Anolis sagrei: one gene and its partners. The protein of the gene in region 4 interacts with the protein of the main gene of each other region in a pairwise test. Links are inferred from orthologs where the notes say so. Each region holds a gene or a part of one and is shown on either strand. Other genes may lie near its edges. The genes, in order: protein NOXP20, CTPS2, PRPS1 and SPG21.

The links.
Region 1: the proteins of SPG21 (region 4) and protein NOXP20 interact in binary tests that used the Homo sapiens proteins (3 or more experiments, as listed by UniProt). The two-hybrid records come from large-scale screens. The link is inferred for Anolis sagrei from reciprocal best matches to the Homo sapiens genes SPG21 and FAM114A1.
Region 2: the proteins of SPG21 (region 4) and CTPS2 interact in binary tests that used the Homo sapiens proteins (3 or more experiments, as listed by UniProt). The two-hybrid records come from large-scale screens. The link is inferred for Anolis sagrei from reciprocal best matches to the Homo sapiens genes SPG21 and CTPS2.
Region 3: the proteins of SPG21 (region 4) and PRPS1 interact in binary tests that used the Homo sapiens proteins (3 or more experiments, as listed by UniProt). The two-hybrid records come from large-scale screens. The link is inferred for Anolis sagrei from reciprocal best matches to the Homo sapiens genes SPG21 and PRPS1.

Annotation. Positions count from the first base shown.
Region 1 is NC_090025.1:119,061,703-119,069,327, reverse strand, and holds the start of protein NOXP20, read right to left. Parts: upstream 3,058-7,625; 5' UTR 2,948-3,057; intron 2,811-2,947; 5' UTR 2,737-2,810; coding exon 2,701-2,736; intron 394-2,700; coding exon 259-393; intron 1-258. UniProt on the Homo sapiens protein: May play a role in neuronal cell development.
Region 2 is NC_090023.1:90,167,904-90,175,224, reverse strand, and holds the start of CTPS2 (CTP synthase 2), read right to left. Parts: upstream 3,029-7,321; 5' UTR 2,976-3,028; coding exon 2,815-2,975; intron 1-2,814. Other genes in the region: TXLNG (gamma-taxilin), read left to right, coding at 3,209-3,316. UniProt on the Homo sapiens protein: Catalyzes the ATP-dependent amination of UTP to CTP with either L-glutamine or ammonia as the source of nitrogen. Constitutes the rate-limiting enzyme in the synthesis of cytosine nucleotides.
Region 3 is NC_090030.1:20,036,948-20,044,367, reverse strand, and holds the start of PRPS1 (ribose-phosphate pyrophosphokinase 1), read right to left. Parts: upstream 3,029-7,420; 5' UTR 2,723-3,028; coding exon 2,601-2,722; intron 1-2,600. UniProt on the Homo sapiens protein: Catalyzes the synthesis of phosphoribosylpyrophosphate (PRPP) that is essential for nucleotide synthesis.
Region 4 is NC_090029.1:18,381,848-18,389,803, forward strand, and holds the start of SPG21 (maspardin), read right to left. Parts: upstream 3,029-7,956; 5' UTR 2,888-3,028; intron 2,843-2,887; exon of another isoform or gene 2,716-2,842; intron 393-2,715; exon of another isoform or gene 286-392; intron 209-285; 5' UTR 180-208; coding exon 117-179; intron 1-116. Other genes in the region: CLPX (ATP-dependent Clp protease ATP-binding subunit clpX-like, mitochondrial), read left to right, coding at 6,679-6,748. UniProt on the Homo sapiens protein: May play a role as a negative regulatory factor in CD4-dependent T-cell activation.

The DNA of each region.
Region 1 (7,625 bases), on a different chromosome or scaffold from region 4:
CCAATAGAGATCATACAGGAGAATGTCTTGACAGAAATATATAATAGGGTTGTGCATAATATCATTTTGGTGTAATGTATTTGGTTGATTCGGCTGCCAAATCCATGAAAATGAGTCTGGCAGCCTTAGCTTTAGCCTATAAGGATCACAGCAAAACTCGGAAGCTCTGGAAAATTATCATCATAGTCAGCTATGCAGACCTGTTGTATTACTTCCAACAGTTTTGATTATCATATTATCAGAATTGGCTATTTTTACCTGAGATAAAGAAACGGTTCGCTCCATCAGTATTTTTGTTTTCTTAAATCCAGGATCATTTTCTGCAAGGACATTCATGGTTTTCTTGCCAATGAACTCCAAAGCACCAAGGCCACCAGTTAAGACACTTTTGCCCTGGGCAATTCAGAGAATAGTGTTATTATGAACGTGCATCACAAAGCTAAATTGTAAGAAAATCACATCAATTTGAATAGTTGGAAACAATTTGCTTTGGATTCCAGGTGTTCTTGATTTTTTGTACAACTCCAAATAAGACTTATGTAAGACTTATGGCTCGCTCATCAGCTCAAATACAGATTATGTTGGAAATCGCAACCTTCTCAAGCCTCCTCTAGTTGTTTGTTTTATATATATATAATTGCTTATTATATTGTATATATGTGTATTGGTAGGCAATTTTACTTTAACTCTTTGTTGTGGGAGGGGCTGCAGACCGTGTGATCAGAACTGGGCTTGCTCAGGACTCAGACTCTATTTTAGGAACAATACAGTTTAGACTTCAGTAGAAACAGTATGCTTAGAGACCCCATTGGACTTTCAAACTAGAAACAAGACTCTATTAGACTCTCAAAACAGAGAGATGCTTTTGATTATGGACTATTGATTCTCAGAATGATGCCCTGTGTTAGGTAAAGGTTGTCCCCTGACATTAAGTCCAGTCATGTCTGACTCTGGGGTGTGGTGCTCATCTCCATTTCAAAGCCGAAGAGCCGCCGTTGTCCGTAGACACCTTCAAGGTCATGGGGCCGGCATGAATGCATGTTAACTACACAGAAAAACTACTTCAAATCCTATTTGTAACTGGATTGATATGCAAAGTACATGTATGTGAGTAAATCAACAATGTTACTTTTAAAGAAGTCTGCTTATTTTTGTCAAATATGTTTTGAGGGAGAGTAGATTTTTTTAGGCAACTAAAAGCCACACTTCTGAAGCTCTGATTGATATATATATATATATATATATATATATATAGAGAGAGAGAGAGAGAGAGAGAGGGGGGGGGGGAGAGGGAGGGAGAGAGAGTACACTGGAATACTGAGAAACCTAGTTGCCTTGAATGAATGCTGGTGAATGACATTTTCCCAAAAGGTTATGACTCTAACAGGTCATGCTTTTTACCAAGAGGTTATGGCATCATTTTTCAAAAGGTTGACTTCTAACAAGGTCATGCCTTAATAAAGATCACAAAATATCCAAATAGTTCTAGAGATTTCCATTTTTCCAAAAGATTATTGGCAAAATAATTAATAAGTTAGTGAAAAGGAAATACATCAATTGAAAGGGACAAAAGCAAAAACAAGACAGTGTCAACAACACAAATATACAATAATCTTAGTATTTTGTATTAAGCCAGGTATTTTTCAACCTGGGGTTCCCTTTGAATTTTTTGGCAATATATTCAGCAATTGAGGTTAATCTTCTCAAACAGTGTGAATTAATATTCCTTCCAAAGCACAAGTGAACAGTGGTTATCTAAGAAAGCAGCTTAGTTAGTGTGAGGCACCCATTGCACTTGTAAAAACATTTATTGTAAACTGAAGGTACATCCCAGAACACACATCTCTACAAACTTTGCGTAAAATGCAGAACTTCTACTGCAAATGTGGTGGCGTTTCTCAACTGGATACTGAAAAGATACAATTCTGAGGGGATAAATTTGGGACTAAATACTGTATATACTACCATGCTTTCTTCTTTTGTTAAATCACAGCAGATGGCAAAAAGTAAGCAAAACAAAAACAACAAGCAGCAAATAAGCCATAATATTCCATGGAATGTACACAGCTAGGTCTGTGGATGCGCTCTTTGATTTTAGTTTACTGCATTGCACCAAGAAGATGGACTGCTCACACACAACTGTCCTTTTTTGCAGGAATCCTATAGGCACGCAGGGAGTGTGTGCAATAACCCATTTTGCTGCCCTAAGGCTCTGGACATGGTCACGCCACAGTCTTGCCACCATGCAGTAAATCTGAATTATTCACAAATGTTGACAGCTTGTCTTGCTGTCAATATGGTTTGGGAGTTTATGAATCCCTGTATGTGCCTGGAGCATTTCAACACATCATCTATCACAACAAAGCTGTAGCATCTGCTACTCGGGATGAGAAGCTGCGGTCCAGCTGCTTTCAGCTTTTGATACAAAAGTCCAAAACTGTCTACAAGGCAAGTGGAGGCAGTTTGATATGTCCTGCAAAGAAAAAAAATGACTTCTCCATATACCGGTGATAATTATTCTGGAGTATATTTTCTAAATGATGACTGCATTGGTTTTGCCCGTTAGCAGATAAAGCACTTCATACTTTTCAACTGTGTTTTCAATTATTTATTTATTTGCTTTCTTTTCTTTTATGTGTATTCTTTGCTTTTTCTGGACTGCCCTTCCTCAATGCTCTTTTTGTCACGGGAATTGCTTACCGTATTCTGTACAGCACTAGAAATGGTTGAAAACATTCCGCGTGACCCAGAAGGAGATGAAGGTGAAACTGCATCTTCTTGGGAGTTTTGTGGCAGGGTCTCTTCCGTGTCTGAAAGGAAAAAAGAACCCCGGAATCCCAGATGCTAGTAATGTCAGAGCATGATCACAGATTAAAGATTTGCACTGACACAAGACTAGCCATTTCATATTTCTATTAACAAATAGAAAGGATAATGCCTCGCTTACCACTTGCAACAAGGTTTTCAGCTGTGCTGGGATGTGGGTCTTCTGATGGCCCAGAGGAAGGAACATGAATTCTGAGGGTGGCTGCTTTTTCTTTAACTGCAGTTAGTCCTTGACCTGCAGCAGAACATATATGGTTTATATGAAACAATTCTGCATACATTAATTACTTAAAAAAACAAAACAAGAAAAACACAGTGTTCATCGCTGGGCCAGTAGCAGCAGTGGAAAACCTGCCAAGAGATTTCAGTTCCCTTCCAACTTCAGTTGATCCTGTTCCCCGTCTGCAGTATCGTAATAATACTGATTTGGATTTTTAGAAATATTCCCCTAAGATAACGTATGTGAAGTGCTTTGAACATTCAAACAAATATTGCAAATGTTAAATATTACAATTATATTAATAATGTGATAAACCTTATATATGACTTGCTGTTAGTTTTCACAATGGGGGACGCATGGCTCGAGAGCAGTACATGTGAAAAAGATCTTGGGATCCTCGTGGACAACAAGTTAAACATGAGCCAACAGTGTGATGCGGTGGCAAAAAAAGACAATGGGATTTTGGCCTGGATCAATAGGGGTTTAGTGTCTAGATCCAGGGAAGTCATGCTACCCCTCTATTCTGCCTTGGTTAGACCACATCTGGAATATTGTGCCAATTCTGGGCACCACAATTGAAGAGAGATATTGACAAGCTGGAATGTGTCCAGAGGAGGGCGACTAAAATGATTAAGGGTCTGGAGAACAAGCCCTATGAGAAGCAGCTTAAAGAGCTGGGCATGTTTAGCCCGAAGAAGAGAAGGCTGAGAGGAGAGATGATAGCCATGTATAAATACGTGAGAGGAAGTCATAGAGAGGAGGGAGCAAGCTTATTTTCTGCTGCCCTGGAGACTAGGATGTGGAACAATGGCTTCAAACTACAAGAAAGAACATTAGGAAGAACTTCCTGACTGTGAGAGCCTTCAGCAGTGGAACTCTTCACCCCAGAGTGTGGTGGAGGCTCCTTCTTTGGAAGCTTTTAAACAGAGGCTGGGTGGTCATCTGTCGGGGGTGCTTTGAATGCAATTTTCCTGCTTCTTGGCAGGGGGTTGGACTGGATGGCCCATGAGCCCTCTTCCAACTCTATGATTCTATGATTGTACGTGCTTCTGAAGGTACCAAAGGAAAAACAGATCCGAGCACAAGTCTAGAAATTACATATGTATTGATTCTATGATTCCGGGATGTATGGCCATGTTCCAGAAGTATTCTCACCTGGCATGTCGCCCACATCTATGGCAGGCATCCTCAGAGGTTATGAAGTCTGTTGGAAAATAGGCAAGTGAGGTTTATATATCTGTGGAATGTCCAAGGTGGGAGAAAGAACTCTTGTCTGTTTGAGGCAAGTGTGAATGTTGCAATTGGCATTGAGTTGCCTTGCAGTTTCAAAGCCTGGCTGCTTCCTGCCTGGGGGAATCCTTTGTTGGGAGGTGCTAGCTTGCACTGATTTGTTTCTTGTCTGGAATAACCCTGTTGCTTGAGTGTTGCTCTTTATTTACTGTCCTGATTTTAGATTTTTTTTACATGCTGGTAGCCAGATTTTGTTCATATTCATGATTTCCTCCTTTCTGTTGAAATTGTCCACATGGCTTCTCTGTGTAGTCTGACATGGTGGTTGTTAGAGTGGTTCAGCATTTCTGTGTTCTCAAATAATATGCTGTGTTGAGGGTGGTTCATCAGGTGCTCTGCTATGGCTGACTTTTCTGGTTGACTTCACCCAGGCAGGAAGACTGCCATAGATGTGGGTGAAATGTCAGGACAGAATGCTTCTGGAACATGGCCATGCAGTCCGGAAAACTCACAGCAACTCAGTGATTCTGGCCATGAAAGACTTCGACAACACCTTATATATGATTTTTATATATAATCTATAGTTGGTGTTTTGAAACCACTGCAAACAGAGAGTGGCCTAAAATTAACACGTCACATGTCAACATTAACTACATAGATTTTCAGACATATATTGATCTATTCAGTAAGATTATGCACTTTTATTTTAAGATTTATCTTTCAAGGCATTTGGCATTTTACACATTTGCTTTGGTTACTTAATACATAATTATTTCTGTCCACCCAGCTTTTCCTATAGAAGAACCTATATCAGTGGCAGGCTCTTTGTGAGCAATCCTATGGTCGTACTAGGAACAGAACTGAATAAATACGTTGAGAATTGCCTTGTTGCCTTGAACATTGTTATATCTAAATTTAGTTGGATCATCCCCTTTATTGTAATCAGAAAAATGGAGTTAATTTAGTGCAGTTTATGTATCAAAAAAATAAATAAGCATTTTATGAGAAACTGCCACTGGGCTAAAATAGATGGATATTAGTTCGGAGCAAACTATTTGTATTTTTATGCTTCAGTGATATTCAATTAGAACAAGAAGCAATAAAGTGCATGGAATATGGATGAGAAGAACTTCTTATAGCGCTTCAAGGTTCTGTGATCACAATCTGAAATGCTCATGATTTCAATAATAACTGGCCACCAAAGACTGTAATACCACATAAGATACTGTAAGGCTGGGAAATAGCATGGTTGAGAAAGCATGTGCACGGACAAAAGCGTTTGAGAGGGAAGGACGGGACACAAACGCAGCATAACAAATGTGGGTTTACCTTTCTGACTGATTGAAAGCATTGTGTTCTCATTGTATGTCTGGCTGCATGCTGGGCAAAACTGGACAGGCAATTGTACAGCATCAGAGTAGAGGGCTACACTGGCATTATGCCACTTCTGTACTGGCAGTGATGCCTCATTAACACTACAGCAACGTGAGGGAGTCAAAACTGAGTGGATTGAAAAATGTCGCCAGAAAAAGTAGAGTTCAGTGCTCAGATATTATGTTCAATTAGAGTTGGTCCACTTTGGCAGCAAAAGAGGTTTCAAGTAATAAAATAAATGGGCTACAATAAAGAATCCCAGATAACCGTGCCGTCTTCTGACTATGGCAGACAACAAGAGCAGCAGCAGGAATTAATAAGCAGTATGGCATGCTGAAGGGTTGCAGAGTTTTGGTGTATAGCACAGATTTCCAGATGGCTACTGGTTGTTCTGGGGCTGTCAGAAGTTTTAAATCTTTGTCTATTTCCAGTGTAAAAGGAAATTCAGAAGCACAGGAGATGGCAATCTGGATTGAGCTGACATTGTTCTGGGTCTAGTTGACATTTAATGGGATTTAAGGGCAGCAATTCTATTTGGCTCAGCATAGCATAGTAGTTCTGAGTGGGAAACTACATTATGCTGAACCATTTGTTGGAATTCAACCCTACACTGTTCAAGTCTGAAATTCTTGGGTTTTGCAGATAAAAATGGCTTTTGGGACAATATAATGAAGACACAAAATAAACTGATTACTAAAATATATAAAAAACTACTAGAGTGGACAACAGAAAAAGAGCAAATAAAAGAATGTATGGTGAAATCGGACCAAAACATTAGACACCAAATTGACTTAAAACATTGGGGAAAAGCCTGGAATCAAAGACTTAAATATACCTATTCTTTTGATTTGAAAGAAAATTGGCTTAAAATGCTATATAGGTGGTACATTACACCATATAAAATCTCTAAATGTTATAAAAACGCATCCAACAAATGTTGGAAATGGGAACAACATACGGGAACTTTTTTCCATTCCTGGTGGACCTGCCCGAAAGCGCAACAGTTTTGGAAAGACATAAATGAAGCCATACAAAAGATTTTAAAAATAAAAATTCAAAGAGAGCCTGAATATTTTTATATGGCATGCTAGATATATAAAAAGACAAGAATAAAGAGATTTTGTTTAATTTCTTGGTCACTGCTGCCAGAATAGTGTACGCCAGGAACTGGAGACAAAAAGAAGAAGACTGGCTGACCAAAGTGCTAGAGATTATGAATATGGACAGACTTGCCTATTGGCTTTCATCTAACCAAGGCCTACCTAAGAAAGAGACCAACTGGGACCTTGTAAAAGACTACTTAAAACAGACGAAAATAGATCTCATCTGCTGAAGACAGTCAATCTTAAGGAAAAAAGAAGACGTAGGGGAAGCAGAACAATTATAACATAATAGTAATTCCAAATAAACGTAATGACCATCAAAAGCAAGAAAGAAGTCAACAAATATCTTTTTCTTTTTTTTCTTTTTTACAGTTTTTAGAGTATCAAATTTTTCATTTTTTTCTCTTTTTCTCTTTGTTTCCTCTTTTTCTTTTCTCTTTTCTCTCTTTTTCCTACTTTCTATACAAGCAAATGTTCTCCCACTTTGTAAAGGAAATACTATCTTTAGATTTCTTTTTTCATTTTCTTTATTTCACATGATAAAATTTCAATAAAAATTTCAATTTTTTTAAAAAAGAAAAACTATACCAAAATGTGCTGCAGGATATCCTGCAACAAGGTTTTTTTTTAAGTTTGCAGTCCTCAATGAGAAGCTGAAAGATAGCATTAAGCTAGGCTGAGGGTATCATTTTCCCCTCATTCCTGCATGTCTGTTGTTGTTCTGTTTTTTTCTCATTCTCTGACCTTTCTCCTCCCATCCCAACTGATAACGTAGAATGGAAGTCTTCAGGATGCATGTTCCCTTTGTTTTAAGGCAGTGGTTCCCAACTTGCAGTCCGTGAACCACCAGTGGTCCCCAAGAACTAAAATAT
Region 2 (7,321 bases), on a different chromosome or scaffold from region 4:
TCTCTACTTGAATTAGTTCAAAGGCACTTGGAACATCTGGTACTTTTCCCGTACCATAAAAGCAAAGGGATGCTTTTCAGCACCTTCAGCCAGGAGTAAAACAGCTTATTTGGTTTAATAATTGGTGTAAACCCAACTCAACCTTATTTATTGGCAGGTAAGACAGAACCAAATAGTTCTGTACCCTGAATCATGAATAATGTTGGACATAGTTGTCCCAGTTCTCTTAGCTTAGGTCCTTTTGTAGTATGGATCCTGTCAAATGTATGGTTCAGTTAACTCCCACCAGATGAATTTGTTTCTAGAAGCAGGTTGAAATGACTTGAGTCCCGTCCGAGGTTAGAAAAGCCGGGGGGGGGGGGGGGGGTCACTGGAATTCAACAAGTGACTTGAAGGCACACATTATAATTACAATATATTTACTTTCAATGGTAACAGTATGCATTATGTGCTCAATTTCCGGTATTTTGTACAATGGGGAAATGCTTCATAATTTAAGGCAGACAATTCAGCAAATGTAGTGGAGTTGTGCCACAAACATCCGTATAAAACTGGGCATGAACTTTTTTTAGAAGGCAATGACAAATATGTCTGAAAGATCTAAGAGGTGCTTTACTTAACAAGAAATTTAAAAACAACTTGCGTTCTTTGCCCTGAATGTACGAGTACTAGAAGCCAATAGAATGTATTGCTTAATACATATCGGGATGACAACAGAGGAATGGGGATTTGGGATGTCAAATGAATACATTTTGACCCCAATGCCATGACTCGGTGCTCTTGAATCCTAGGAGTTGTAGTTCCACAAGATCTTTAGCTTTCCCTGCCAAAGAGTGGTGGTACTTCACCAAACTACAAATCTCAGGATTCCAGAGACTGAGCCATGGCAGTTCAAATGGTGTAAAAGTGCATTAAGTTGACAGTGTAGATGCATCTGTTAAGGCAATGGTTCCCAATCTGTAGTCCATAGACCACCAGTGGTCCACAAGAATTAAAATATGGTCCGTGGCCTCACCATTACTATACTGTTGCAATGAGAGCGAGACTGGTCTCACGAAACCCTCTTATAGTGCCAAGGCTTATTAAGTACTGTTTTCTTTGAAATGCAATTCAAAGTACTTTGAATGTAATTTTCCTGCTTCTTGGCGGGGGGTTGGACAGGGTGGCCCACAAGGTCTCTTCCAACTATGATTCTATAATTCTGTGGGCAAGCAGATGGCCACTACTGGATGGCATATGCTCTGTATCAGAAACTAGAGCTGATGTGGTCTATCCAATGCAATTTTCTGAATCAGCACCCTAAATAACCAAACGAAAAGTTGACCAAAAACTGATTCGTAACCCTTTTGGTACTAATGTCTGGACCATCCTCCAAAAATCGAGTGCCCTAACAAATTTGTGAACATCCTGCGGCTCCTCCATGATGACAACGATTTTGGACAACAATGGCTCCCAGAGTGGCCCATTTAAGGTGGAATCAGATGTCAAACAGGGATGTGTTATTGCCCCAACTTTATTTTCCATCTTCATCGCTATGATACTTCATCTTGTTGACAGGAAGCTTCCCACCGGTGTTGAAATCACATATCAGACAGATGGTAAGCTATTTAACCTCAGCAGACTGAAAGCCAAAACTAAGGTTACAACAACATCTGTTATAGAACTTCAATATGCTGATGACATTGTCTGTGCACATCCAGAAGTCTACCTACAAACCACTCTAAACACCTTCGCAGAAGCATACGAGAAGCTCGGCCTGTCATTGAACATCGAGAAAACCGAAGTTTTCCAGCAGTCACCAGCCAATCCTTCTCCAATGCCAGAAATACAGCTTAATGGTGTAACATTAGGAAATGTTGATCATTTCTGCTACCTTGGCAGCCACCTCTCCAAAAAAGTCAACATTGACACTGAAATACAACACCGCCTGAGCTCTGTGAGTGCAGCTTTTTTCCGAACGAAGCAGAGAGTGTTTGAGGACCGGGACATCCGTAGGGATACCAAGGTGCTTGTTTATAAAGCTATTGTCCTCCCAACCCTGCTATATGCCTGTGAAATGTGGACTGTCTACAGACGTCACATGCAACTCTGGGAATGATTCCATCAGTGCTGCCTCTGGAAAATCCTGCAAATCTCTTGGGAAGACAAGTGGAAAACATCAGCATGCTGGAAGAAGCAAAGACCACCAGCACTGAAGTGATGGTCCTCTGCAATCAACATGTCCGAATGCCCAACCACCGTCTCCTAAAGCAGTTGCTCTACTCCGAACTCAAGAACAGAAAACGGAATGTTGGAGGACAGAAAAAGAGATTTAAAGATGGGCTCAAAGCCAACCTTAAAAACTGGCACAGACACAGAGAACTGGAAAGCCCTGGCCCTTGAGCGCTCCACCTGGAGGTCAGCTGTGACCAGTAGTGCTGAAGAATTTGAAGAGGCACAAATGGATGGCGAAAGACAGAAATGTGCCAAGAGGAAGGTGCGTCAAACCAACCCCGACCAGGACCGCTTCCCACCTGGAAACCGATGCCCTCACTGTGGGAGAAGATGCAGGTCAAGAATAGGGCTCCACAGTCGTCTACGGACCCACCCTGGAGGATTATCCTACTCGGACAACGAGGGATCGCCTAAGTATATAAAGTAAGGTACTAATGTTGGAGAGTGGTCCCTGGTCAAAAAAAGGTTGGGAACCACGGCTTTAGATAAAGCTCTTGTCTGGAACAACACACCAAAAAGTAGAGGTGAATATGCAGAGATCTCATCGAAAGCAGAGAGAATACAAGCTACGATGAGAAACCTCTCCGGAAAGAGACTCACCCTGGCTTGAACTCCTGTACTTTCCTGACAGAGCGGCTTAAGAGCAGCGGGCCCCTTGCAGCGCGAAGCATTTGCCTGCCGCCTCCGCGCGCCGAGAAAAGCGTACAGCCCTTAATAGGCTGCAACCTTCCCCATAGGGTGTCTCTCAAGTGAAAGGGCATGGGAGGTACATACAGAGAGAGAGAGAGGTGTCCCCATGTGCTTCTGCCGCAAGGGATGCTGGGGGGAGTAGTTCTCAATGGCTGAGGTGTGAGCCGGTTGGTCCTTTGGCGTCACGTGGCAAGAGAAAGCGCGCCCCGTGATTGGCTAGAGGGAAGAAGAGGAGGCGGGGAATGTGGCGGCGGAGGAGGGCTTCCGGTGCGGGCCGGCTTGTTTTGGCTCCTGCCGTCACAGTATGGCGGCGCGCGGCGGAGAGGCTCCTCAGGACCTGCCAGAGGGAGGGAGGCGCAGCGGGGAGGCGGAGGCGGCCTTGGCCTCGGACGGAGCCCGCGGAGGTCCTGAGGTAAGAGCCCGGCGGGTTTGTCTTCGCGGCTGGGCGAGGGAAGGAAGGAGGGAGGGGAGAGGAGGCTCCGCTCCACGCGGCCGCGAGGGAAGCGGGCTCCGGCGCCTGAGGCCATTCCGTCCCGCCGCCTCCTCCTCTTCCTCGTCCCATCGTGGTCCTTAATACCACCATCCAACCTATATGTCGTTTTGCAGGAACACCACGAAACACAGCAAGGACGCCTCTAGCTCACGCATGAGCAAACTTCGGCCCTCCAGGTGTTTTGGACTTCAACTCCCACAATTCCTAACAGCCGCTAGGCTGTTAGGAATTGTGGGAGTTGGAGTCCAAAACACCTGGAGGGCCGAAGTTTGCCCATGTAAGGCACAAATGTAACTTGTGTTGCATTGCAAGCCCTACTGGCCGCATAAAATGACATGCCTTTGACGTGCACGATCTAAAATATCATTGTAGAGGCCTACAGACACAAAGGGAAGGAGGAAGAATAATTCACTATTGTACAAAAGCTGTGCTATAGTTGTGATAACTTGCAAAAAGAAGAAAAAACCCACAGTGTAATACAAAACACAACAGCCAAGGATATCGCACTCATTTTCACAACAGAATCATAGAGTAGGAAGAGACCATGTGGGCCATCTAGTACAACCCCCTTCCATACAGGAAAAGCACAAAATATCCCTGACAGATGGTCATCCAGTCTCTGTTTAAAGGTTTCCAAGGAAGGAGTTCCCACCTCATTCTGAGGCAGAGAGTTCCACTGTTGAACAGCATATACAGCAAGGAAGTTCTGCCTAATGTTCAGGTGGAATCTCATTTTCTGTAATTTGAACCCTAGTTCCACTTTCAAGGGCAGCAGAAAACAGGCCTGCACCCTCTTATGACACCCTTTCACATATTTACACATGGCTATTGTCTCCTCTCAACCTTTTCTTCTGCAGGCTGAACATACCCAGTTCTTTAAGACACTCCTCATAGGTCTCCAGAACTTTTATCATTTTAGTCGCCTCCTCTGGACACCTTCCAGCTTGTCAATATCTCTTTTGAATGGTGGTGCCCAGAATTGGATACAGTATTCCAGGTGAAGTCTATCCAAAGCAGAATAGAAGGTACCATGACTTCCCTCAATCTAGACCAATGGTTCTCAACCTGTGGGTCCCCAGATGTTTTGGTCTTCAACTCCCAGAAATCCTAACAGATAGTAAACTGACTAGGATTTCTGGGAGGCCAAAACACCTGGGGACCCACATATTGAGAATCACTGATCTAGACACTATACTCCTTTTGATGCAGCCTAAAATCCATTTGGTGTTTTTAGCTGCTGCATCACACTGTTGGCTCATGTTCAACTTGTTGTCCAGGAAGACTCCAAGATCTTTTTCACCTTGACTGTTGTTGAGCCAGGCATCACCCATCCAGTATCTTTGCATTCCATTTTTTCTGCCAAAGTGTAGTATCTTACATTTGACCTTGTCGAAAACAATAATCAAAATAAGAAGGCCGCAAAACAAAAATAAAGTGCTATCATTTTACCAACCAAAGCCAGGCCTGCCATTCTTTTGGAACAGGGACTAAGAGTGCATCTACACTGTAACATTAATGCAGTTTGGTACTATTTAAACTGCCATGCTGTAGAATCCCAGGAGTTATCGTTATTGCAAGGTTTGCTGCTTTCTCCGCCTCACCAAACTGTAATTCCCAGGACTTCATAGCATTGAGCCTTGGTAGTTAAAGTGATTTCATACTACGCTAACGTGACAGTGCAGATGCACTCAAGAGTGTTTTAATGCACGAGCAAATGAAGAATGCCAAATCCTACTCTGCAGCAGAACCTAGAAAAGAAGGGAAAGGACATAGCTGTCTGTCCTCATGCCAGAAAGCTCCTTAGAATATGGTTGGCAACACTGTGCTGCTTTTGGGGATTCCTCATAGTTCTTTTCCAGTTCCTAATTAAATTACCTGGGAAGGGTTAAAATGATGTTTATTGTTTATTCTTTGTATGGAATAATTGGGCTAAGAGGCTCCCTTTCCTCCTAACTGTTAAGTGTTAAGTACAGCCAGCTTTGGGATTTGGGGCACAGGACTCCCTTGAAAGTGAAAAACTACACACACACACACACAAAGAAGTAAGAAAGGCGCATGAAAGGATTTAGAATTGTCAGTGAATCTTGCTAGATTTCTAAAAAAAATATGAGTCTCAGGTTCTGCTCATTTTGATCTCTCTGTACAGTGGTCAGAATGCCCACAGGTACCACTCCAACTCCACAACTTTCTGTAGAGAAAGCAGGGTGGACAGCATGCGCCTACTGGGAAAGGCATGGAAGTAGTGTCCTGGTATGTTCAAGCACAAAGTGTTTCTATGTGCACATGGCCAAGGAATGTGCCTATCAAGGTCTTCCAGCATCAAAAGAAGTTGAGGAGCACATCTGCTCAGATGCTGATAACACAGTAGCTGCCTCCTTGAAAACACTTCCAGATCTGGAGGAAAAAAGGATTGGCTGTGCCATGCTCCTTTGGCTCATATGATGTCCAAAGGTCTCTGAGCAGGTTGCTTAGGCAATTGCAAAACTCCAGACTTTTTCTTAACATCTGAGGTTAACTACTAAGGAAATCCTAACTTAGCTTTATTATAAAAGTGGGCCCTTGATATCCCTGGGGTTTGGTTCCAGGACACAAACAACATTTGAAGGGACCCAAAATCCATGGGTTCTCAAGTCCCTTTAAATACAACGGCATAGTAAAATGGTGGCCCTTTTATGGCAAAATGTAAGATTTGCTTTTTGTAATGTCTTTTTTAAAATATTCAAGACATGGGTGGTGAACACATGACTAGAGAATCCATGGATACAGTGAGCCAACTACAGAAAAGGGAACACTGATTCATCATGATCATTATAAGACTATTTTGCTCATCAGTGTGAACAGAAACATTAATTACATGCTCAAATGTATTACAAGTTTTGGGAAAGTTAAGTACCATTGAAAATTAATAAATGTGAAACTCAAATGCCTGGCATTTTAGGTACAGAAGATATAAAGATGTGGAATCAGTAGGGACTCCAGTTTCTTACTACTTTTAAATGCTTGCTTTTTGTTTAAGGTATTTACATTCCATGTGCTCCAAGCAGTAGCTTATGACACTTTACTATATATAGAAATACAAATTAAGTAACCAAGTAATAATAATTTATTAATACCATATTATAGTCAGATGTGATCTTATGTAATACCAATAGATTAACACTTGCAAGAGTTTGGAAAATAGCCAAGAAATTTTGAAGGAACTCAGAAGAAGTGCTATCATAGAAATATTACCTCACCTGTAGTAAACATATACCATAGTTTAGCAAACAGGCCATCAAGAGTAAGGCCTCCAATAAATCCAAACAGGCAAGCTCCTGTGGAAGCAGGTTGGCAAAGTATGGTGAGATTCTATTACTGCTGAATTTATACAGGTTCTGCATTTAATTGCAATAAAGTTTTCTGTAGTTTTGGGTTCAGAGATAAGAAGTCAAGAACAGTTTCAGAGGAAGTCTTTGATCTTATAGTTGAGTTCTCTGGTGAATACATTTCTTTAGCTAGCTACAATAAGAGAAGTCCACAAGGCTATGCTTGTCAAAAAAAGTTCTTTATCTGATTAATAGTGGTGCAGAAGAAACAAAGCACTCCTGTAATCTCTTCTAGTCTTCTGTCAGTTGGGCCAACAAAGCACAAAATTGTTTTATGTGTGTGCTGACAAGTCACTTATTGACTTATGATGAGCCCATTAATTCCTTAGGGTTTTCTTTGGCAACAAATATTCAGAGGTGATTTTGTCAGTTTCTTCCCCTTTCACCTACACCACCTAGTATTTATTGGCAGTCTCCCGTCCAAGTAGAGATTGGGTTGTCCATGCTTAGCTTTCAATATCATGAGAGATCTGGTGCCTTTAAGCTGCACATAATATTTAATTGTGCAAAAATAGTGCAAAACTTTATCAAGAAATAATCTTCATGCTAGAATATTGAA
Region 3 (7,420 bases), on a different chromosome or scaffold from region 4:
CGAGTCCCTCTAGGGCAGTGGTTCTCAATCTGTGGGTCCCCAGATATTTTGGCCTTCAACTCCTAGAAATCCTAACAGCTGGTAAACTGGCTGGGATTTCTGGGAGTTGTAGGCCAACACCCCTTGGGGACCTACAGGTTGAAAACCGCTGCTCCACGGAGATGGGGCAGAATATCAATAAAGATAACATCATAATCATTATTTATTCAGTCCAACATGGAGCCCCCAGTGGTGCAATGGGTTAAACCCTTGCGCTGGCAGGACTGAAGACTGACAGGTTGCAGGTTCGAATCTGGGGAGAGCGTGGATGAGCTCCCTCTGTCAGCTCCAGCTCCCCATGCTGGGACATGAGAGATGCCTCCCACAAGGATGGTAAAACATCAAACATCCGAGCATCCCCTGGGCAACATCCTTGCAGGCAGCCAATTCTGATGTGGGGCTGCCTGGAAGCTTCAATTAGTCCAACAGTCAGCAGCCAGGTTGCTGACCGTAGCGAGGTACAGGGAGCAGACAATTCCTCTGTTACAGCACCTCCACTGGTTGCTGATCTGCTTCTGAACACAATTCAAAGTGCTGGTTTTAACCTTTAAAGCTCTAAAAGGTTCTGGCCTAGACTACATGTCCAAACATATCTCCTACTACGAATCATCATGAAGTTTAAGATCATCTGGAGAGGCCCTGCTCTTGATCCCACTGCCGCCGCAATTGTGATTCCCTCCCTAAAGACATCAGACTGGCCACCTCCCTCCTGTCCTTTAGAAGGAAACTCAAGACTTGGCTGTGGGACCTTGCATTTGACCATTGAACAGCAACTTGTACGAACATAAGCAATTTTGAAGTGACAATGAATTGTTCTAGACCTGGATTTTAATTGACATGTTTTAAAAACTGTTTATTTAATGTTTTGTTTTAATGAATTTGTTGATTGTACTTATTATTATGATGGCACCGAATGGTGTTTGCTGTGAGTCTGCCCAGAGTCCCTAGTGCCAGAAAAGCACACTCAAAGCCCTGCCAACAGATGGCCACTCAGTCTCAATAATAACAACAACTTAGCTGGAAGAGACTCCAGTGGCCATCCAGTCCACCCCCTTCTTTCTGCCTTCATACAGGAAAAGCACACTCAAAGCCCTGCCAACAGATGGCCACTCAGTCTCAATAATAACAACAACTTAGCTGGAAGAGACTCCAGTGGCCATCCAGTCCACCCCCTTCTTTCTGCCTTCATACAGGAAAAGCACATTCAAAGCCCCCCAAACAGATGGCCATGCAGTATCAATAATAATAATAATAATAATAATAATGACATAGCTGTAGAGGAACCAAGGGACCATGCAATCCAACCCCCTTCTTTCTGCCCTCATGCAAGAAAAGCACACTCAAAGCCCTGCCTACAGATGGCCACTCAGTCTCAATAACAAGAACAACAACATGCAGTTCTTGTGGTTTTTTTCGGGCTATATGGCCATGTTCTAAAGGCATTTCTCCTGACGTTTCGCCTGCATCTATGGCAAGCATCCTCAGAGGTGAGGTCAACATGGCTGGAAGAGACTCCAGGGGCCATCTAGTCTAACCCCATTCTTTCTGCCTTCATACAGGAAAAGCACATTCAAAGACCCCCAAACAGATGTCCATCCAGTATCAATAATAATAATAATAATAATAATAATAATGACATAACTGGAGAAGACCCAAGGGACCATTCAGCCCAACTCCCTTTCTGCCTTCATACAGGAAAAGCACATTCAAAGCCCCCCAAACAGATGGCCATGCAGTATCAATAATAATAATAATGACATAGCTGTAGAAGACCCAAGGGACCATGCAATCCAACCCCCTTCTTTCTGCCTTCATACAGGAAAAGCACATTCAAAGCCCCCCAAACAGATGGCCATGCAGTATCAATAATAATAATAATGACATAGCTGTAGAAGACCCAAGAGACCATGTAATCCAACCCCCTTCTTTCTACCTTCATGCAAGAAAAGCACACTCAAAGCCTCCACCCCCAACAAATGGCCATCCAGTCTCTACAACAGTAATAACATAACTGGAAGAGACTCCAGGGGCCCTTCCTATGGAGGTTAGATCAGCCCCCTCGCTAATGGTGTTTCGAAGAAGATTAAAAACTTGGATGATTGAACAGGCATTCGGATAAACAGTGCAATGAATGTGATGATTACAGGAATGGAAATATGGACGACGAATTGGATCACGACTCTAGTTATGAGATGCATTGTGTTTGTTTATTGTTGTGTCAATATTGTATACTATGCTCTTATGGTTTTAAATTGTATATCGTTGGTTGATTTTTATCCCTGTTGTAAACCGCGTTGAGTCGCCTGTTGGGCTGAGAAACAAGTAAACAAGTAAAGTAAAGTAAATAAATAAATAAAATAAATCCAGCCCAACTCCTTTTCTGCCCTCATGCAGGAAAAGCACACTCAAAGCCACCCCAACAGATGCCCATCCAGCCTCTGTTTCAAAGCTTCCACTACTCTCCAAGGCAGAGAGTTCCACTGTTGAACAGCCAGGAAGGGGCTTGGGAGGGCGGGACTTCCGGGGGAAGCCAGGCCTGAGCCCCTTCCCCCCTGACTCACCATGTCTCCTGGTTGGAGAACTTCTTGGTGACGACCTTCCCGAGCTCGAGGCCGAGGCGGTCGGCGATCTTCTGCGAGAGGTCCTGGTGGGAGCTGCCGCTGAAGATCTTGATGTTGGGCATCCTGCCGGCCAAGGAGGGGTGGGGAGGGGGCGGCGCCGAGCTGGGCGAGGAGGAGGAGGAGGAGGGAGAGGCCGCCGCCTCCTCGGCCTCCCTGCGCCGCTCCCGGCCTTCGGGGCCCGCCGCCTCGGCCTCGCCTGCCCGCGGGGGATCCAGCCGCCGCCGGCCTTCCGCCCTCTTGGCGGCTCTGGCGGGAAGAACGCGGGGAACGAGAGCGGAGGGCGGGAGGCCGGGGAGAGCGCTCCTACCGCGACGACAACAACGACGACGCCATCTTGGCGCTTCCCTTTTTATCGCCTCGGCCACGCCCACCTGCCGCGCGCGAGGAGCAACCCAGCGCGCAGGCGCATGCCGGCAAGCGTTTCCGATTGGTTCCTCCGAGGAGCAGAGCGGGCCCCGGCAGCCAATGGGAGCGGGCTCCTCGTGAAGGCTTTATCGCGGTAATACAGGAGGCGAGATCTGGAGGAGGGAGGGGAGGGGTTGGCGGCGGAGGGTGCGATGTGCGCCTGCGCGAAGTGGATCAAGACTCTTGAAAGTGGCATTAGTGCACCTTGGCATGACTTCATGCTGCGAGGTCCTGGGAGTTGTAGTTTGGTGAAGTACATTGGGTTTCATCCCTGGACTGCACAAGTCTTTTGTTTTATCAAGTTTCTAGTCCTGAATGAGTACTAGAGGCAGGGTCAAGCTCAGAGATTCCTTTTGGACAATATTGTGTCCAGTTCTGGGCACCACAATTCAAGAGAGATATTGACAAGCTGGAATGTGTCCAGAGGAGAGCGACTAAAATGATCACAGGTCTGGAGAACAAGCCCTATGAGGAGCGGATTAAGGAGCTGAAGAAGAGAAGGCTAAGAGGAGATATGATAGCCATGTATAAATATGTGGGAGGAAGCCACAGGGAGGAGGGAGCAAGCTTGTTTTCTGCTTCCTTGGAGACTAGGACACGGAACACTGGCTTCAAACTATAAGAGAGGAGATTCCATCTGAACACGAGGAAGAACTTCCTGACTTTGAGAGCTGTTCAGCAGTGGAACTCTCTGCCCCGGAGTGTGGTGGAGGCTCCTTCTTTGGAGACTTTTAAACAGAGGCTGGATGGCCATCTGTCGGGGGTGTTTTGAATGCAATTTTCCTGCTTCTTGGCAGAATGGGGTTGGACTGGATGGCCCATGAGGTCTCTTCCAACTCTGTGATTCTATGATTATAAGCGTAATGTTGTCAACTTTGATCTTTACGGATGGTATTTTCCACTTTGCATTAGTGCACCTTGGCATGACTTCATGCTGCGAGGTCCTGGGAGTTGTAGTTTGGTGAAGTACGTTGGGTTTCATCCCTGGACTGCACAAGTCTTTTGTTTCATTAAGTTTCTAGTCCTCAATAAGTACTAGAGGCAGGGTCAAGCTCAGAGATTCCTCTGGACAATATTGTGTCCAATTCTGGTCACCACAATTCAAGAGAGATCATAGAATCATAGAATCAAAGAGTTGGAAGAGACCTCATAGGCCATCCAGTCCAACCCCCTGCCAAGAAACAGGAATATTGCATTCAAATCACCCCTGACAGATGGCCATCCAGCCTCTGTTTAAAAGCTTCCACAGAAGAGCCTCCACCACACTCTGGGGCAGAGAGTTCCACTGCTGAACGGCTCTCACAGTCAGGAAGTTCTTCATTGGGAAGAATCACCCTCTGGGTTCGTCCATTTAACCAATTACAGATCCACCTAACCATAGTTTTGCCTAGCCCACATTGGACTAGTTTGTTTGCCAGAAGGTCACGGGGGACCTTGTCGAAGGCCTTACTGAAATCCATAATATTCCTCATTCCAGACAAGAATCAATGAGGGCCAGCTAACACCTCCCAACAAAGGATTCCCCCAGGCAGCAATGAGTCAGGTCTTGAAACTGCACACTCCGGGGCAGAGAGTTCCACTGCTGAACGGCTCTCACAGTCAGGAAGTTCTTCCTCATGTTCAGATGGAATCTCGTTTCTTGTAGTTTGAAGCCATTGTTCCGCGTCCTAGTCTCCAGGGAAGCAGAAAACAAGCTTGCTCCCTCCTCCCTGTGGCTTCCTCTCACACATTTATACATGGCTATCATATCTCCTCTCAGCCTTCTCTTCTTCAGGCTAAACATGCTCAGCTCCTTAAGCCGCTCCTCATAGGGCTTGTTCTCCAGACCTTTTATCATTTTAGTCGCTCTCCTCTGGACACATTCCAGCTTGTCAATATCTCTCTTGAATTGTGGTGCCCAGAATTGGACACAATATTCCAGATGTGGTCTAACCAAAACAGAATAGAGGGATAGCATTACTTCCCTAGATCTAGACACTATGCTCCTATTGAGATATTGACAAGCTGGAATGTGCCCAGAGGAGGGCGACTAAAATGATCAAGGGTCTGGAGAACAAGCCCTATGAGGTGCGGCTTAAGGAGCCGAACATGTGCAGATAAAGAAAGGACTTTGAGAATGGCCAGGAAATGACTAATGGAATGGAATTTGGAACTCTGAAAGACGAACGCTGAGCATGTGAATAGTTTTTATATGATGTGATGTATATTGATTGTTATGATTGTTTTAACTGTGATAATTGTTTTAACTATGGTTTTTGTACACTATGTATAATTTTTGTATAGGCATCGAATTATGCCTTTTGTAAGCCGCGGGGTAAAAGTACCTGAAATAAATAAATAAATAAATAAATGTTTAGCCTGAAGAAGAGAAGGCTGAGAGGAGATATGATAGCCATGTATAAATATGTGAGAGGAAGCCACAGGGAGGAAGGAGCAAGCTAGTTTACTGCTGCCCTGGAGACTAGGACTTGAAACAATGGCTTCAAACTACAAGAGAGGAGATTCCATCTGAACGTGAGGAAGAACTTCCTGACTGTGAGAGCTGTTCAGCAGTGGAACACTCTGCCCCGGAGTGTGGTGGAGGCTCCTTCTTTGGAAGCTTTTAAACAGAGGCTGGCTGGCCATCTGTCAGGGGTGATTTGAATGCAATATTCCTGCTTCTTGGTGGGGGTTGGACTAGATGGCCCATGAAGTCTCTTCCAACTCTTTGATTGTATGATTCCCCACATCCTAAAAGTTAAAAGGCCATTCCAGCCACAATATAGTACTATATAAGCTAATATCAGCACTTTTAATCTGTACCCATCACACTTGGCCCGGCTTAGTTTTTATTGTGTTGCGGTGTACTGTTTTTACTGCTTACTGTTATTACTTAATGTTTTGATTTGCTTTTGGTTTATGTGTATTTGTTATATTGTTGTTTTATTGAGGCCTTGGCCTTTGTAAGCCGCATCGGGTCCTTCGGGAGATGCTAGCGGGGTACAAATAAAGTTAATAATAATAATAATAATAATAATAATAATAATAATATTGTGCCATGCTAATAATACAATATATTGTATATACCAGGGGTCCTCAAACTTTTTAAACAGAGGGCCAGGTCACAGTCCCTCAAACTGTTGGAGGGCTGGATTATAATTTGAAAAAAGCATGAATGAATTCCTATGCACACTGCACATATCTTATTTGTAGTGCAAAAAACACTTTAAACAGTGCAATAATTAAAATGAAGAACAATTTTAACAAATATAAACTTGTTAGGATTTCAATGGGAAGTGTGGGGCTGCTTTTGGCTGATGGGATAGGATTGAGATAGGGTTGTTGTTGTTGTTGTGGTTGTGTGCTTTCAAGCAGTTTCAGACTTAGGTTGACCCTGAGCGAGAGCCAGGTAAATGACCCACACTGCACATATATTATTTGTAGTACAAAAAACACTTTAAACTGTGCAATAATTAAAATTAAGAACAATTTTAACAAATATAAACTTGTTAGTATTTCAATGGGAAGTGTGGGGCTGCTTTTTGCTGATGAGATAGGATTGTTGTTGTTGTTGTGTGCTTTCAAGCAATTTCAGACTTCGGTTGACCCTGAGTGAGGGCCGGGTAAATGACCTTGAAGGGCCATATTCAGCCGTCGGGCCTTAGTTTGAGGACCCCTGGTATATATCTATAATATTGACAATATTATAATGTAGTACAATATATGGAGCCCCCAGTGGGGCAGTGGGTTAAAACGCTGAGCTGCCGAACTTGCGGACCAAAAGGTCGCAGGTTCGAATCCGGGAAGCGGCCCCAGCTTCTGCCAACCTAGCAGTTCGAAAACATGCAAATGTGAGTAGATCAATAGGTATTGCTCTGATGGGAAGGTAATGCCGCTCCATGCAGCCACATGACCCTGGAAGTGTCTATGGACAATGCTGGCTCTTCGGCTTAGAAATGGAGATCAGCACCACCCCCCAGAGTCGGACATGCCTGGACTTAATGTCAGGGGAAAACCTTTACCTAATACAATATAATACTAATAATAATACAATATAATATTAATTATATATTATATATTACACCGGGGGGAGGGGCTTGAGGTGCTTCAGCCCCCCCCTCTCTCCAAATTCTCAAGGTGGTCCTTGAGAAGGCCTTAAGGGTATATTACTTAAACTGTTATGTTTATTCATATCATGATCTGATCACCATGCTCAATATATCCCATATGCATGGGGCTATTGGGATGATATAAAAGGTTTGCTAGGATAGATCCTCTCTCACTCAGACTCAGCCTCCCCCCCCCCCCCCCATCAAATCAAAATCCTTGCTATGGGCCTGCATTACATGTAATAATGCTAATAATATCATGGTATA
Region 4 (7,956 bases):
GGCATTTTATTTCTTGATCTGGGCCACTCCACCCAACTAGATGGCCACTCCACCCAGCCAGAAGCTTCCTTGCATCTATTGACCTGATGTAGCCTATATTTAGAGGTTGAACTTACCTTTTTGAGAGGAACCGTACTTCTGAACCAGTTATAGTCCGGAGAGATTTTAATCTCTCCCATGATGGTCGCGAGCCCACAGTGAGGAACACCTGAAACATAAAGGGAGACGTTTCTGTCTAAAAGAACATGCGTTTCAGCTAAAAACACAAAAGGTACTCAGACGTACAATGGATTCATTCAAGGCAAAGCTTGCTCGCCGCTCTGAGCAGTGGATTAATCTTCTCTTTCGAACTGTGCTCCTTTGGCTCGGTTTGAGAGAAATGTTTAGAAAGGGGAAGTGATTTTGAAAACACGGCGTTTGTGTCTGTTACGTACAAAGTGGCAGGAAGAACAGAAAGCAAGAAATACACTGGCAGGGCAAACAATTCCTATGAAACCAGTCATGCATTACATTATATATAAGGCAAACTGCAGCTGTGCGCCTTGTACAATTCCACTTGAAGAAAGCTGCACAAAAAATGGGAGACAAAGTAAAGGGTTTGGATCCTTGACAATCCAGCCCAAAGGCTCCACTTCAGGATTATGGGACATTATTTACATTCTTTGCAAAGTCCCCAAGAAAACTGTATATCTCACTACCAAAGCGGTGAGCGTCTCATGGTCTCTTTCCATTTGCAATAACACTATGGAACAAAATACGCTATATGCTATATGCCTACGAAACGTGGACTGTCTACAGGCATCACTTTCTACTCCTGGAACGATTCCATCAGTGTTGCCTCCAAATCGCTTGGGAAGACAGGTGGACAAATATCAGCATGCTGGAAGAAGCAAAGACCACCAGCACTGAAGTGATACTCCTACGCCATCAACTCCACCGGACTTAGTGCCATATTGTCCGAATGCACAATCACCGTCTCCCAAAGCAGTTATTCTACTCCCAACTCAAGAATGGGAAACATAAAGTTGGTGGACAGGAAAAGAGATTGAAAGATGGGCTTAAAGACAACTTTATAAACTGTGGCATAGACACCAAGAATTGGGAAGCCCTGGTCCTTGAGCGCTCTAATTGTAGATCAGCTGCAACCAGCAGTGCTGCAGAATTCGAAGAGGCACGAATGAATGATGAAAGGGAGAAATCTGCCAAGAGGCGGCCCCTGACCGGGACCGCCTTCCACACAGAAACTGATGTCCTCACTATGGGAAAACATGCGGATCATGAATAGGGCTCAACAGCCACCTACGGACTCACCGGCAAGACACTACACTTGGAGAACCATCATCCTCGGGCTACAAGCGATCGCCTAAGTAAGTGTGGCGTCTGTAGACAGTCGTTTTGCAGGCGTATAGCTTTATAAACAAGCACCTGCTTTATTTGGAAGAATGCTGTACTCACAGAGCTCAGGTGGTGCTGTATAGCAGTGTCAATGTTGACTTTTATGGAGAGGTGGCTGCCAAGGGAACAGAAATGGTCAACAGTTTCTAATGTTACACCATTATGCATTATTAGCATATTTACTTACTTAGGCGATCTCTTGTTATCCGAGTAGGATTGTCTTCCAAGATTGGTGTCCTAGCGATGGGTCTGTAGGTGACTGTGGAGCCCTATTCTTGCTCTGCATGTTCTCCCACAGTGAGGGCATTGGTTTCCAAGTGGAAGGCGGTCCCAGTCGGGGTTGGCCTGATACGCCTTCCTCTTGGCATGTTTCTCTCTTTCACCCTCCGTTCGTGCCTCTTCAAATTCTACAGCACTGCTAGTCACAGCTGACCTCCAGCTGGAGAGCTCAAGTGCCAGGGCTTCCCAGTTCTCAGTGTCTATGCCAGAGTTTTCAAGGTTGGCTTTGAGCCCATCTTTAAATCTCTTTTCCTGTCCTCCAACATTTCGTTTTCCATTCTTGAGAGTAGACCAACTGCTTTGGGAGAAGGTGGCCGGGCATCCGGACAACGTGGCCAGTCCAGCAGAGTTAATGGCAGAGGACCATCGCTTCAATGCTGGTGGTCTTTGCTTCTTCTAGCACGCTGACATTTGTCCGCTTGTCTTCCCAAGAGATTTGCAGGATTTTTTGGAGGCAATGCTGGTTGAATCATTCTAGGAGTTGCGTGTAACATCTGTAGACAGTCCACGTCTCGCAGGCGTATAGCAGAGTTGGGAGGACAATAGCTTTATAAACAAACACCTTGGTATCCCTACGGATGTCCCGGTCCTCAAACACTCTCAAAGTGTCTCAAAGTGAGGATTAGCATACCACAATATTAGTACAATATATTATTATATTGTAATATTACCAATAATTGTACAACCTTATTAGTAATATTACATGCAATATGTAATATACAATTATTATATTATATTATGATATAATATATTGTACTATATTGTATAATATATAATACATAAAAGGTACACAGAAACCAGATTATAAAATGCAGGGGGAAATACCCCATTAAAATACTATATCAATCATTAGCATCACTGAAATATACCTAAGTTCCAGGTTTCATATAACTCAAGATCAATAAAAATATATGCAAAAATCCATACAACCTACAGAATATATATACACATGATGTATTTTATGAAATGCATAATGCAAATAATGACAACCAACAGGAAGAAGGTGAAGATCAGGGACAGACAAACAAACAAACAAGGCACCTGACTCAGCCCAGCTTCCCTATCAGGGGCATGCCATTCCTCTAAGGGAGGCAAGCTGGGATCTACCATTCTTCTTTAGGCTCCCCCAAAGGCATGATTTGGGGTCTCTCGCTTACCCACTGCCTAAAAACCTGAACAAAGGCACTCCCTTCCTCTCTTTTTCAATCCTTACCAGGTTTTCCTCCGTTTCGAGACGGGCGGGTGGACGAAACCACCTTAACAAACACACCGTCCCTCCCCTTTTCCCGCTCGAATGGTATCTTCCAGTCCCTACTTCCTGGTCTCTCCAAGTAGGCGGAGACGAAAGGTGTGCGGCGCCAGCCAATCAGCGGACGTCACAAAGCCGAGTGGGCGGGGCTCCCCATAAAGGGGCGGGAAGGGGACGCAGGGAAGAATCACGTGGAGGCTCCAGCCACGCATGCGCACAAAGCCTTGAAGTTTAAAGGGGATTTCACCACCAGCAGAAGCTGGGTTGTTGTGAGTTTTCTGGACTCTCTGGCCATGTTCCAGAAACATTCTCTCCTGACGCAGTGACATTCCCAGTCCAGCACTCCAACGCCTTAAATCAAGAAATAGTACAAAGATGTACAGAGATACTCACAGGAACATCTCAGTAAGCGAGAGTCCAAAAGTGGCAGGCTAAAGCCTGGAACCTCAATCCATGGCTGATACCAAATGAGGAAACTCCCCCCTGAGCTCACAGAAGAGTGGACGAGCTGAAAGTCTGTTGTTGAAGACTTTCGTGGCTGGAATCACTGGATTGTAGGTTTTTTCAGGCTATATGGCCATGTTCTAGAGCAGGGGTCCTCAAACTAAGGCCCGGGGGCCGGATCCGGCCCTCCAAGGTCATTTACCCGGCCCTCGCTCTGGGTCAACCTAAGTCTGAAACGACTTGAAAGCACACAACAACAACAATCCTATCTCATCATCCAAAAGCAGGCCCACCCTTCCCATTGAAATACTAATAAGTTAATATTTGTTCTTCATTTTAAAGTATTTTTGCACTACAATTAAGATATGTGCAGTGTGCATTCATTCATGTTTTTTTTTTCAAATTATAATCTGGCCCTCCAACAGTTTGAGGGACTGTGACCTGGCCCTCTGTTTAAAAGGTTTGGGGACCCCTGTTCTAGAGGCATTCTCTCCTGACGTTTCGCCTGTGTCTAGGGCAAGCATCCTCAGAGGTAGTGAGGTGAGGTGGCTACCTCTGAGGATGCTTGCCATAGATGCAGGCGAAACGTCAGGAGAGAATGCCTCTAGAACAAGGCCATATAGCCGGAAAAAAACCACAACAACCGAGCTGAAAGTCGTTGAACAGACTGCACTCTGGCACCACGAGATGCAGGGCCAACCTTAAGAAATAGGGCCACAAACTGGAGTCCACAACATGCGAGTGTGGAGAAGAGCAAACCACAGAAACCCTGCCACATGCACAATGGAGAATCTTCTTGCAGGAACATCAGAGGCACTCCAAGTGGCCAGCTACTGGTCAAAGAACATTTAATATGCCAAGTTTTTTTTTTAAAAAAACTTGTTTTTTAAATGCATTGCAACTGTACCCATGGTTTGCTCCTAATATGATAAATAAATAAAAAATATTATCAAGATTATATCTATATATATTATATTATTAGCATAGCACAACTCTAGATTCCTAGCGTTGGAAGACACATCAAAGACCATCCAGTCCATCCTATAATAGCTGATAGATAAGATGGGAAGATAGGCAGAATAGATAAATAATCAAATAGATAGATATTCCTCGAGTTGGGAGGGCCCCCAAGCAATCCAAATCAATTTTATGAAATAAATGTTGTTCATTCGTTCAGTGGTTTCCGACTCTTCGTGACCTCATGGACCAGCCCATGCCAGAGCTCACTGTTAGCCGTCACCACCCCCAGCTCCTTCAAGGTCAATCCAGTCATGTCAAAGATCCCATCCATCCATCTTGCCCTTGGTCGGCCCCTCTTCCCTTTTCCTTCCATTTTCCCCAGCATTATTGTCTTCTCTAAAGCCTTCCTTTCTTCTCATAATGTGGCTAAAGTCCTTCAACTTTGTCTGTACTATCCTTCCCTCCAATGAGTAGTCGGGCTTTATTTCCTGGAGGATGGACTGGTTGGATCTTCTCGCAGTCCAAGGCACTCTCAGAACTTTCCTCCAGCACCACAGTTTGAAAGCATCTCTCTTCCTTCGCTCTGCCTTCCCTAAGATCCAGCTCTCACATCTGTAGGTGTCTACGGGGAATACCATTGCTTTAACTCTGTGGATCTTCGTTGCCAGTGTAATGTCTCAACTCTTCACTATTTTATCGAGATTGAACATTGCTCTCCTCCCAAGAAGTAAGTGTCACCTGATTTCCTGGCTGCCGTCTGTGTCTGCAGTAATCTTTGCACCTAGAAATATGAAGTCTGTCACGGCCTCCACGTTTTCTCCCTCTATTTCCCAATTGTCAATCATTCTTGTTGCCATAATCTTGGGGCTTTTTTATGTTGAGCTGCAACCCAGCTTTTGCGCTTTCTTCTTTCACCTTGATTAGAAGGCTCCTCAGCTCCTCCTTGCTTTCGGCCATCAGAGTGGTGTCATCTGCATATCTGAGGTTGTTAATGTTTCTTCCAGCAATTTTCACCCCAGCCTTGCATTCGTCAAGCCCCACAGGTCGCATGATGTGTTCTGCATGCAAGTTAAATATGTTGGGGGAGTGTATACAACCTCGCTATATGCCTTTCCCAACATTGAACCAGCCTGTTGTTCCATGATCAGTCAGTGCTTCTCAGCCTGGGGTCCCCAGATGTTTTTGGCCTTCAACTCCCAGAAATCCCAACAGCTGGTAAACCGGCTAGGATTTCTGGGAGTTGTAGGCCAAAAACATCTGGGGACCCCAGGTTGAGAAGCACTGATATTTATTTATTTATCGTGTCATCAGCAACCATTGTATTACAATTCTAACAGAGCAAAACAAACACAGAGATTAAAAAGAAAAGGGGAAAAAAGGAAAAAAACCACACAGATTTTGCAAATTTGGTAGTTGTTTAAATGTCCTTTGACCAGTATCTGGCCACTTGGAGTGCCTCTGGTGTTGCCGCAAGAAGGTCCTCCATTGTGCATGTGCCAGGGCTCAGGGTGCATTGCAGCAGGTGGTCAGTAGTTTGTTCTTCTCCGCACTCGCATGCCGAGGATTCCACCCTGTAGCCCCATTTCTTAAGATTGGCTCTGCATCTCGTGGTGCCAGAGCGCAGTCTGTTCAGCGCCTTCCAAGTCGCCATGTCCTCTGTGTGCCCAGGGGGGAGTCTCTCATCTGGTATCACCCATGAAATGAGGTGCTGGGTTTGGGCCTGCCACTTTTGGACTCTCGCTTGCTGGGGTGTTCCAGCGAGTGTCTCTGTAGATCTTAGAAAACTATTTCTAGATTTAAGTCGTTGACGTGCTGGCTGATACCCAAACAGGGGATGAGCTGGAGATGTCTCTGCCTTGGTCCTTTCACTATTGGCTGCTACTTCCCGGCGGATGTCAGGTGGTGCAATACCGGCTAAGCAGTCTAATTTCTCCAGTGGTGTAGGGCGCAGACATCCCATGATAATGCGGCATGTCTCATTAAGAGCCACATCTACTGTTTTAGTGTGGTGAGATGTGTTCCACACTGAGCATGCATACTCAGCAGCAGAGTAGCATCGCACTGATAGATAGATAGGAAAATAGATAGACCCTAGGATGGCCCGCCACCTAGAGGGGAAACGCGTAAGAAGAGCTCTGACTTCCTAGATAGTGAGTTGCGCCTGCGCACACGCCTCTCGTGCATTGGCCTCTCCTTCCCAGAAGGCAAATCGTACGCTTCGAGGTTGATCAGCGCGGCCTCTTCGGCGCGGGGGCTGCCGGGAGTTGTGGTCCCACCGCCGTTCTTCGCGGAGGCTGTGACGCTACATCCGGGTCTCGGTCTTCTGAGGTGGGAAGAACGACGGCGCCAAGATGGCGGCCTGCGGTTCCTGCGCGGCGGCGGCACGGCTCCTCAGCGCGTCCCTCCCTTCGGCGCGAAGAGGTAACTCCCTAACGGAGACCGAGGCTTCAGCCGCGCGCTAGGCCTCACTCCTGGTTTCGAGCTTTTCAAGGCCCTTGTTTAGGTTTTTAACAGCCCTGTGTTAACCCTGTGTTAACTTCCATGTTATGGATCTGATGATTGATTGATTGATTTATATTCTGCTTTATCTCTCCCTACGGAGGCTTAAAGCGGTTCCCAATCAATAACATTGCAATAATAACACAATATTATCATTATATATATTATCAGCAGTGTTGCATTTAATATATTGGTATTGTTATATGACTATTATTATATATTGTACTGTATTATTATTAGTCTTATATTCTGTTATTTTATAATATTATCAATAGTATATGTATATATAATATAATATATTATAACCATAGCATTATATTTAATTTAATTTATTTCTCGTGTCAGGGCAACCAGTCAATTATATTACATTTCTAACAGAACAAAGCAAACAAACAGAGAAAATACAAAATGTGTGAGTTTGGTAGTTGATTGAGCATTATATTAGTATTATATATATATATATATATATATATATATATATATATTGTTCTCCCAGATGAACCAATATTGCCAGCTTCCGTGCCTCTTCCATGAAAATAAGGCTGGGTATTATATTCATTTTTGCTCCAAAAGATACATTATTTTTAGGGGACGTCTTTATTTTTTAATGTACAAAAATCTCCATTTATTAATGTACAAAAATCTCTCATCCAAATCTTTAATGATAAATCGTCCTTATATTTATCACTGCTATATGCTATCTGCACCTCACTCATTAGCTCTATCCTCTAATATTTATTTTTTATTTATTTATTTAAAACTATTTATTTAATATTGTGACCCCAGTCCGCCCACCCCATTACAAGACATTGAACTTTGCAGTTGGTTGTTGGTTTGAATGTTCGCTTTATATGCTGCTTAATGTTGTTGCTTTTATTTTGTTATATTGCTTTATTATTATGTTGTTGATAGGCATTTTAATGTGTTATGTTTTAATTGTTGGACTTGGCCCCATGTAAGCCGTTCGAGTCCCTTTGGGTAGATGAAGGCAGGGTATAAAAATACATTTATTATTTTTATTATTATGGCACCCCCTTGGGTATTTATAAACACTTAATTATAATTTACAATATTATTTATTTTAAGTGTTAATGTCAGTAATAATAATAATAATAATAATAATAATAATA